2 linked regions of the Xenopus tropicalis genome follow. The main gene of each other region encodes a partner of the protein of the gene in region 2 in a complex. Links are inferred from orthologs where the notes say so. Each region holds a gene or a part of one and is shown on either strand. Other genes may lie near its edges. The genes, in order: tac1 and tacr1.

Region 1 (4,607 bases), on a different chromosome or scaffold from region 2:
TCAGTTAATATATTTTTAAAAGAACAAATTTGAGACTTTAGGTGCTCAAATTCAGAATTTTTGGCAAGCATCAGTTTATTTTTAACAGTGCTAATGTTATAAAAGTCAGGAAAATATATAGCCCCTAATTCCACCTAGCTGAACACATGCCACCCATTGCTTAGGGCTCCTCGAGGGAAGCGGGGCAGACTGACAGTTTGTAAATATTGTATTTATTGTAACTTTTCATTTTAAGAACCCAGTCGCAAAGAGGTGCTGCTGTAATGTCTTATAGCTTGTTAAAACTGAGGTCAAACAAGGGCACTGTGCATGAAATCTATGGACTGTGTTCAGCATTACCTCCGGATAGCAAACAATATGGCATAAATACATGTATTCATATAAGTATATGGACAGTGAAAAATAAGATCCTTTATATAAATAGACAATATTTTGCCTTTAACTACTTAACATGAGCATTAAATGTGTATTGGGGGGAGTTATGATAGGGTTTATTTTTTTAAAACCCTATGCTTTAATAAAGGTGCGTGAAAGCATCTAAAAGGTAAGAAAAATTTAAATCCTGACTAGATTTCAGAAAAATGAGGCTAAATTCTACTATTAATGGATAAATAAAATAAACACTCAGTGCTGGTTGTGCTGTACATACAGTATATAGTATTTATTGCTGATTTCTATAGTAAGAGCATTCTCAGGCTTAAAGAGATACTAGTAAATCTGTTCTATATGATTGATTTTCACTTTCCTAAGCAAATGTTGCTACTTCTACTGACTGCATTGGGTTTTCTGACATGGGTTTGGCAGTAGCTGTTAATAAAACTAATGGCACAATGCTGAGTTTTATATCTCCCATAAGATGATTTTGAATCCCCAGGACACCAGAGCAGTTTTTATTGCAGCGCCCTGGAGACCTACCTGATGCCTGATGCTGATTTATGGCATATAAATCAGGACTGGGTTAAGAGATCTCAGATGCGCTAAGGCGCACATTCATAAACATGCCCCACGGGGAGTTAACCACCAAAGGAGCAAGTCAAAAGCAAATGCAGCGAGTTCAAGTCTCCCCCTGTGCTGAAATATTTATACAACCTGGGAAACAGGGAAATAGCGATGCTACTTCAGTGATATTCTCAGATTTCCCAAAATATGGTCTTAACAGGCTAAAGGCATACTAGAGGAAAGCAGTTCATCATTGCCCCAATTATCCAGAGCAGGAGAGGAAAACACTCTGCAATTACCTTAACCCAGAGATCATTATGAAAACTCATTTCAACACTCAGCCACCTGGGAAAAACCATTGTTCATTTGCACCAGGCAATAACAGCAGCAATCTGGGACTCCCCTGGCATTAATAATTTACAGCCTTTGCCACTTTTGCAAGTTACTTGTACACATGGCTCAGAGAAGTTTTAGTTATTACAAATGTGTACAGCAAATATATTTATTTTTTCTCTTTTTGACATAGGAGATAGTCACTGTTTTCTCTGACAGGAAATTGTATACTAATCAGTATAAAATTATTTAACATATTTTTACAGTTATGGGACCTGTTATCCAGAATGCTGGGGATCTGGGGTATCCCGAATAGGTCCTTCCGTAATTTGGATCTCAATACTCGAGTCTTCTAAAAATCATTTAAAAACTAAATAAATTCAGTAGGATTATGTTGCCTTTAGTAAGGATTCATTATACTTTATCTTAATTAGGATTAAGTACAAGGTACTGTTTTATTATTACTGAGAAAAAGGAAATCATCATCAAAATTTTAATTATATGATTAATATGGAGTCTATAGGAGATGGCCTTCCCGTATTTCAGATCTTTCTGGTTAACAGGTTTCCGGATAACGGATCCCACACCTGTACCAATATATTGCTCAGAAACACAAAAGATCAGTACTTGACTGCCCAGCTCTCACTCTACTACCCCAGTTATATCAAGTTTGGTAGATTTAGCAAATTCTGTTATTTTAAGCTGAAACATTAGGACCATGCATTTACGTTTCAATACTATTAATATCCTTATGATTTCATTGTTGGTATAGTTTCTTTGATCAATTACATATTGCAGGAAAAGGGGAAGGATAGGAAATAAACACGTTATTCAATATAATAACCATTATATCTTGGTGGATGTATTTCATGTATGTTTTGTTCTGTAATAGTAAAACTGTTTACATGTAAATAATGCCTGCTCTCACTTTCCTTCTAACTTAGAACAATGTAAGTTCAATATAGACAAAGTATGGAAAAGGCAGCAGCCACATTCGTGCCATGTTCTGATGCTGTCACTTTTATCCATGCAATTCATGGAGTTTACAGGTAGACTTTACATTGTTGATGGTACAAGTTTGCTCTACACATATACACATTGTATACATATTCTGCCTATAGTGTTTAAATCTATAGGTGTATATTTGTGACTGCAAAAACAGATGTCAAAAGTATTTCATATTTCAGAATTTAGCATTATTTAGTGAGTATCCCACCTGAATTTGGTCGCTGTAAGGCCAGTCACTGTCTTCATTAAATCCAATTTCTGCCGCAAACACTTGTGCTGAAACCAGAAGAACGACAGCAAATGCTACAAGGATTTTCATGGCACCCTGTATTCACTGTAGGAGGCTGCAGTAAATTGCCCTGCACGGTGTCGGAGGCAGGTGCGGAGAAGACACTTAAGTGCAGAAGGATCAGTAAGAATATTTAGCAGCAGCTCAGCTGGGTGGATCTGTATTTCTGCAACAGAGAGAAAAGAGGAGAGAATTACTTTCTATTAATGCAAAGTAACAGACATAACAGAAGAAAACAATACATATCTACTTTCATGGATTAGTGTAAATAAAATAAGGGAGGTAAGTTTCATTCAGTCTTTCCCACATCTTACTAGAAATTCTTTGCTGGGATCAAGCAATGTCAGAGTCCTAAATGCACTTACTGTACTCAGTAGAAGAGGCTGTTCTTCTGTCACCCACCCAGGCTCGTGTGCCTGTGAATACAGTGTCTATCTGAATACACTCTGGAGAGCTCTCCACTATATATAAGTGGAGATGGGCAGGTCCAGAGGAGCTTCGTGTTCCTAAATCTAATTACTGCACTCAGTCTATTTACCATATGAAGCAGGGGGAAACAATATGACGTATATTCCCCCAGCAGTATTTCCTATCAATATTCCATTACAGAATTTAGAGGCTTCCCTACTTGTTCTTTAATCCTACCTCCCTTTTTTTTCCTCTGAAACATAGAATGACACTTCCCCTGGAGGTGACCCGCTGATGGCAATGACTCCACGCAATTTATGAGACGTGACGTCATTTACGAAAATCTTTGCACTCCAAACTGATAAATTCCTTTATTCTCTGCCGATAGAAATAAAACGTGGGAGCCCTTTGTCACCAACAATGAATCATATAAATCTTTATCTCTAATTTTTATTTCAATGAAGTTGTAGTATCTAGCGGCTAAACTCAGGAGGCAGTTATACATATATTTAGTATGGAAATAGAGCAATGGGGATGATTTATCAGGGTCCATTTGGCATGAAGAAGACCCCTACAGCTAAAGAATCTAGACTACTGATTCCCACTACTCAGGTGGTAGATTTTCTATAGTGTTTTCCTACTGCAAAAATGGGAATAACTAGTTTAGATTACAGTGGCTATAGAAAAAGCTGGGGAGAAAAATGTATAGGTCTTGCAGCAGAATTCAAAAGACTCTTGAAATTACCTTAAAATGAGGCTTTCAGAAGTTATTATTATGTATTTATATAGCATCAACATATTTCACAGCGCTGCACAATAGAAAGGTACTCATCTTATATACATATTGTATATAAATACTGATTGATACAAGAGTTAAAGACAGCCCTGTTCATTAGAGCTTACAATCTAAAAGTGTCTGGTCTTGGCTTGTAATCCTGCCAATTTCATGCCAAAAACACAGACCTGCCTTGTGGGGAGAAAGAGGAAAGTTATGTATGGACACTTGGGGGCGAGGAACAAAGATGAAGATAATGAGAAGCCAAAAGAAATCTGAAAAATAAAATATTTCTCTTTAGTTAACTAATATACTGCTTATTCTATAATGTTATTTAACACATATAAGGGTTGATTCACTAAGGTGTGTTAAAATGAGCGCTATTTATAGCATGCGTTAAAAATTTTATCGCATCTTATTTTCCGCGTCTTCACTAAAAGGATACTTGCGTTAATTTAGACGCAATGCTGTTTGCGGTATTTATGTCGCAAAGACTATTTTCGTGCGGTATTTGACGCAACACGCGCTAATTAACGCAGCGCGCACAAACTGTTGCCGTGTGTGCACGCCATATTAGCAGTACACGCCATTACTTACGGAAAACTACTGTTCTGAAAATGACCATTTCCCTGCAAACTGGCGGCTGCATCACTCTAGGGCCAACACAGACTTGAATAAATCCCACTGCAAAGTCCATATTGCCAAAAGCTCATGAACTGTACTTTTCTATAATTACCGCCTGCCCCAAGTAGGTGTTAATTTTTGCATACGCAAATGCGATATTTAGCGTGTCTAAGTGTTTGTGAATCATGCGTTAGTATTATTTCTGAGCCAGAATTAACGCAATGCATTAAA
Region 2 (3,825 bases):
TATAAAAAGTTAGTGAAATGATTCAAGTTGTGAGCGGAGATGACGAGAGAAGCCGGGAGACTTCAGAGGCCATTACAGGATGGAAAGAAATAAGACATGCAGAAGGGGGCTCAGGAAAGAAGAGCTGGTTAATTAATGGCTGCAATTTGTGATTTTTGTACTTTGCACACTCTTTTGTTCTTTACAAATGCTCTGTCCTCTGTTTCGGAGCATAAACAGAGATGTGTCGCTGACCCCATGAATATAGTGCTGACTGATATAGCCAGAACTGTGTTGGTGACATACGGTGGCAGAAGGTAAGGACAGGCATGGCTTGTATCCCCGACGTTGCTGTCTGCACCTTGCACCATTCATCTCAGCCAGTAACGTATACTTACATGGAACTAATGCAATGATGAATGTTTTAAACAAGAAGCACAGAAACTTGTCCTTGGATTCAAAGAGTGAGGGGATGGAACTAAAATTCTGCACCTGGCTTACCAGACAACTAAAATCCCTTTTACAAGTTATAATTTTCAGTAAATATTTAAAGGGAAATCAAAACCTCAGCACTTGATAAAGATTTTAATAGGGTCATTAGTACATTTAATACACAATACAAAGAGTTGGTGAAGTGAGGTGGCATTAAAACTTGGAGAATTTATACAGGGTCGGACTGGGCCGGCTGGGCACCGGGAAAAAAACCTGGTCTCAAGAGACACAAAAGAAAAATACCCAGGGATAGAGGTGGTGATTTGGATTAAATCCTTCTGCAACAAGAGAGTAGGAGGATATAACCTCTAAACACTTATGGCACCACATATGGACTTAATGGGGACATGTGGTATAAAGACATTTCTGTAATAAAAAAAAAAAGATGGCTTTTTTGCCTCCATGGGTGTCCCTGGCAGTAATATTAAAATTACACATTTTTGTTCAATGCATAAATGGTTATATAATCCATTTACATATGCAACCGGTTAGTTTTCCAGATTTAGAGCGGAAATAGAGGACAATACGCATATAAATGATATACTCACACTTTCTCAAACTTCCTGTTCTCAGATTCCGGCCACTCCATGTAGCAAACAACTCTATCCGGTGTAGGTTCAACAGTGGCGAAGTATCCCTGAGGAAAGGCTAATGCAAAGGCAAAACCCCAGATGACAGCAATCACTATCCTAGTGGCTGTGGCCGACAACCTTGGCTTCAGTGGATGGATGATGGCCATATACCTGTTGAGGAGCAAAAAGAGAAACTGATTTGATATCCACTTTAACAACACTTCCAGCATTGATACAGTTAATTTGCCAAATAAACAGAGCATTCTGCAGAGCTCCGTCCTTGGTCTACACTGTAATCTCCAGGTCCCTCACGCTTCTCCTCACCCATGTCCTTTTACAACGGGGGGCCATTATTTGTTATAATAAGCATGTATAATTCATGTGACAGAAATCACAGAGCTACAGCAGGACTGACCAACTGTAGGCTCCCCTGGAGGGTTTTTATGGCCCCCAGTATGCTGAAAGGCTCCATAGTCTTCACTGTAATGTCATCACCATTTTAACTGGGTCCAGCTGTCAAATATGATGATGAGAAATAATGGGGCCATTCTAGTAAGTAAGTTGGATGGCACTGAGATAGAGGATAGGTTCTACTGATTCTCTATATTTATTTGTTCAGGGAGGGCTTTCTTTTTTCATGCCCAGTGGGTCCAAGTGTTAAGGTGTGGCCTTAGAAGCCAAGGAAAGAAGATCCTATGCCCTGGCTTTAGCCATAATGAGCCTTAATGCTTAAAGTGGACCTGTCACCCAGACATGAAAAGCTGTATAATAAAAGTCCTTTTCAAATTAAACATGAAACCACAATTAATTTTTATATTAACACATTCAAACCCATTATAAATGCATTTAAAAATCACAGCTGTCAATCATATACTGCCTGCCCCGCCTCTAAGCCTTAGGCACAGAGGCGGGGCAGACAATTACTTAAACTTTCCATTCAGCACTCACATTCCCCCTCCCTCCTCACCATGTAATTATGTAACCAGTGCATGGACATGGGCATCAGGTCCCCCATTCTGGCACATATACAAGATTCTGGGGTGATACAAAGCTTGCCTTAATAACAGTGCCCACAAAATGGCAGCTGCCTGCTTGCTGTGATTGTATGTTCCCAAGACTGAAGGAAACAAGATATATATCATTTATATAGTATGTGAAGTTAATTTTGCTTAATAAACACAATAGAAAAGAAATTGGAATTATTTCTTAGGGTGAAGTTTAGCTGCACAGAATCTTTCCTGTGAAAGAATGAGCTGGAGAAAGACTGAAAGATTAGTGTCTGAATGCAACATTTATTTAGTAATAAAACGTGAAAATTCACTGGGATGTATTGTGGCACAAACTGATACACAGAGGCTAAATCAGTTTTATTTGATTTTCTCAGAATCCCACTTTCTTGGTAAAACTTGCACGACACAGTTCACATAATACACAGAGTCAACACAACTGATCTGCCTAAGGGCCAGGTGCATATTGCTGGTGTCAATCGCTCATCTGTTTCATTGTGTTTCCGACACTTTACAGTGCATTGATAGGTCTGTATAGACTTTTGTCTTTTTTCAACCCCAGTTAACTATGCAACCAATGACTTGTAATGTACCTGGCACGCAATGTAGACTCATTGTGTAGCCTATTAGGCTGTTTATATTGCTCATGTAAGATGAAACATTTAAGGTGGTCGTGCTGACTTATATTACATGACCATTGATTATGGCTTGAGACAAATATTTTTTAGTCTATCATTTTTAAAAAAAGTTAGAAAATGCACAGAACTAAAGCTGGTCATACACATGAAGATCCAGCAAAGTTGCCAAATGAGCAGATTTTACACCTGTATGCCTACCTTGGGGTGGGCAATACCAAGCTGATCCAATCATTTGACCCTCAGACCAATGGTAGGATCTTAATTGATATGCAGGCTGTTGGATGAAGGGCCACATCAACATGCAGATGAAATCCTCAATCTGATGGGCAAACCAGATGTCAATCAGGCAAACCTGCCCAATGGACATCTGGGTGATATTCAGCCAGATACAGGTATTGGCTGGGTAGGCCAGTCGGAGGGACCCATATACAGACAAATAAGTTGGCGAATCGGCAACTTAAATCTCCCTGTGTATGGCCACCTTTACTTATTACTAACAACAACAAATAAAGCAACTATATACTAATAAATAAAAGGCTAACATCATATACACTGTAGGCTGGTAACTATATGCAATAGAATTTACACACCATAGTATTAAAGGAATGGTTTCATAATTCTTCTGAGCTGAGTATTAGTCCAGATGTAGCAGTTATCCTAAAATGATATAGCTGCCTATTGCTATACCCATTCCCCAAGCTATTTTAATTAGCACAATATGGCACAGAATTCCATTAAACCTGATGTAATTTGTATCTTAAACTTCTACAATAGAATAACTCCCAGCATCTTTTGTGTCCTCAGTAATACAAAAAGAATACTTTTGGCACAGGTTACATCTTTACATCTGGGAAAATAAGGTTTCTCCCAGTCCCTTTAATCAGACTCACTGCATTCCAGCTTCCATTCTGCATGGTCCTATGAAAGTGCTAAACAGGCCACATACCTGCCTGCTGTGAGCCAAGGGAAACAGCTGGTGATGCTATTGTCTCACTGAAAATGCTCCTTTAAATTAGCTCTTCCATTTTTCTCTAAATGTCATAATACCTGTATCATGATTAGTCTTTATTTTAGCCCAACACTTTGTAGGACATGAAATTCCCTTTTAGAAAGAAACATGAAAGACGCTACCTATAA

The links.
Region 1: the proteins of tacr1 (region 2) and tac1 are in contact, whole or in part, in a cryo-EM structure (PDB 7P02), measured with the Homo sapiens proteins. The link is inferred for Xenopus tropicalis from reciprocal best matches to the Homo sapiens genes TACR1 and TAC1. Residues at the interface, in NP_001049.1 of Homo sapiens: Gln24, Phe25, Asn85, Asn89, Tyr92, Ala93, Asn96, Trp98, His108, Asn109, Ile113, Gln165, Met174, Arg177, Val179, Cys180, Met181, Ile182, His197, Val200, Phe264, Phe267, Phe268, Tyr278, Leu279, Ile283, Gln284, Tyr287, Met291; in NP_003173.1 of Homo sapiens: Lys60, Pro61, Gln62, Gln63, Phe64, Phe65, Gly66, Leu67, Met68.

What each region holds. Positions count from the first base shown.
Region 1 is NC_030682.2:34,191,900-34,196,506, forward strand, and holds the start of tac1 (protachykinin-1), read right to left. Parts: upstream 3,071-4,607; 5' UTR 2,935-3,070; intron 2,736-2,934; 5' UTR 2,600-2,735; coding exon 2,489-2,599; intron 1-2,488. UniProt on the Homo sapiens protein: Tachykinins are active peptides which excite neurons, evoke behavioral responses, are potent vasodilators and secretagogues, and contract (directly or indirectly) many smooth muscles.
Region 2 is NC_030679.2:121,668,156-121,671,980, reverse strand, and holds part of tacr1 (substance-P receptor), read right to left. Parts: intron 1,215-3,825; coding exon 1,020-1,214; intron 1-1,019. UniProt on the Homo sapiens protein: This is a receptor for the tachykinin neuropeptide substance P. It is probably associated with G proteins that activate a phosphatidylinositol-calcium second messenger system.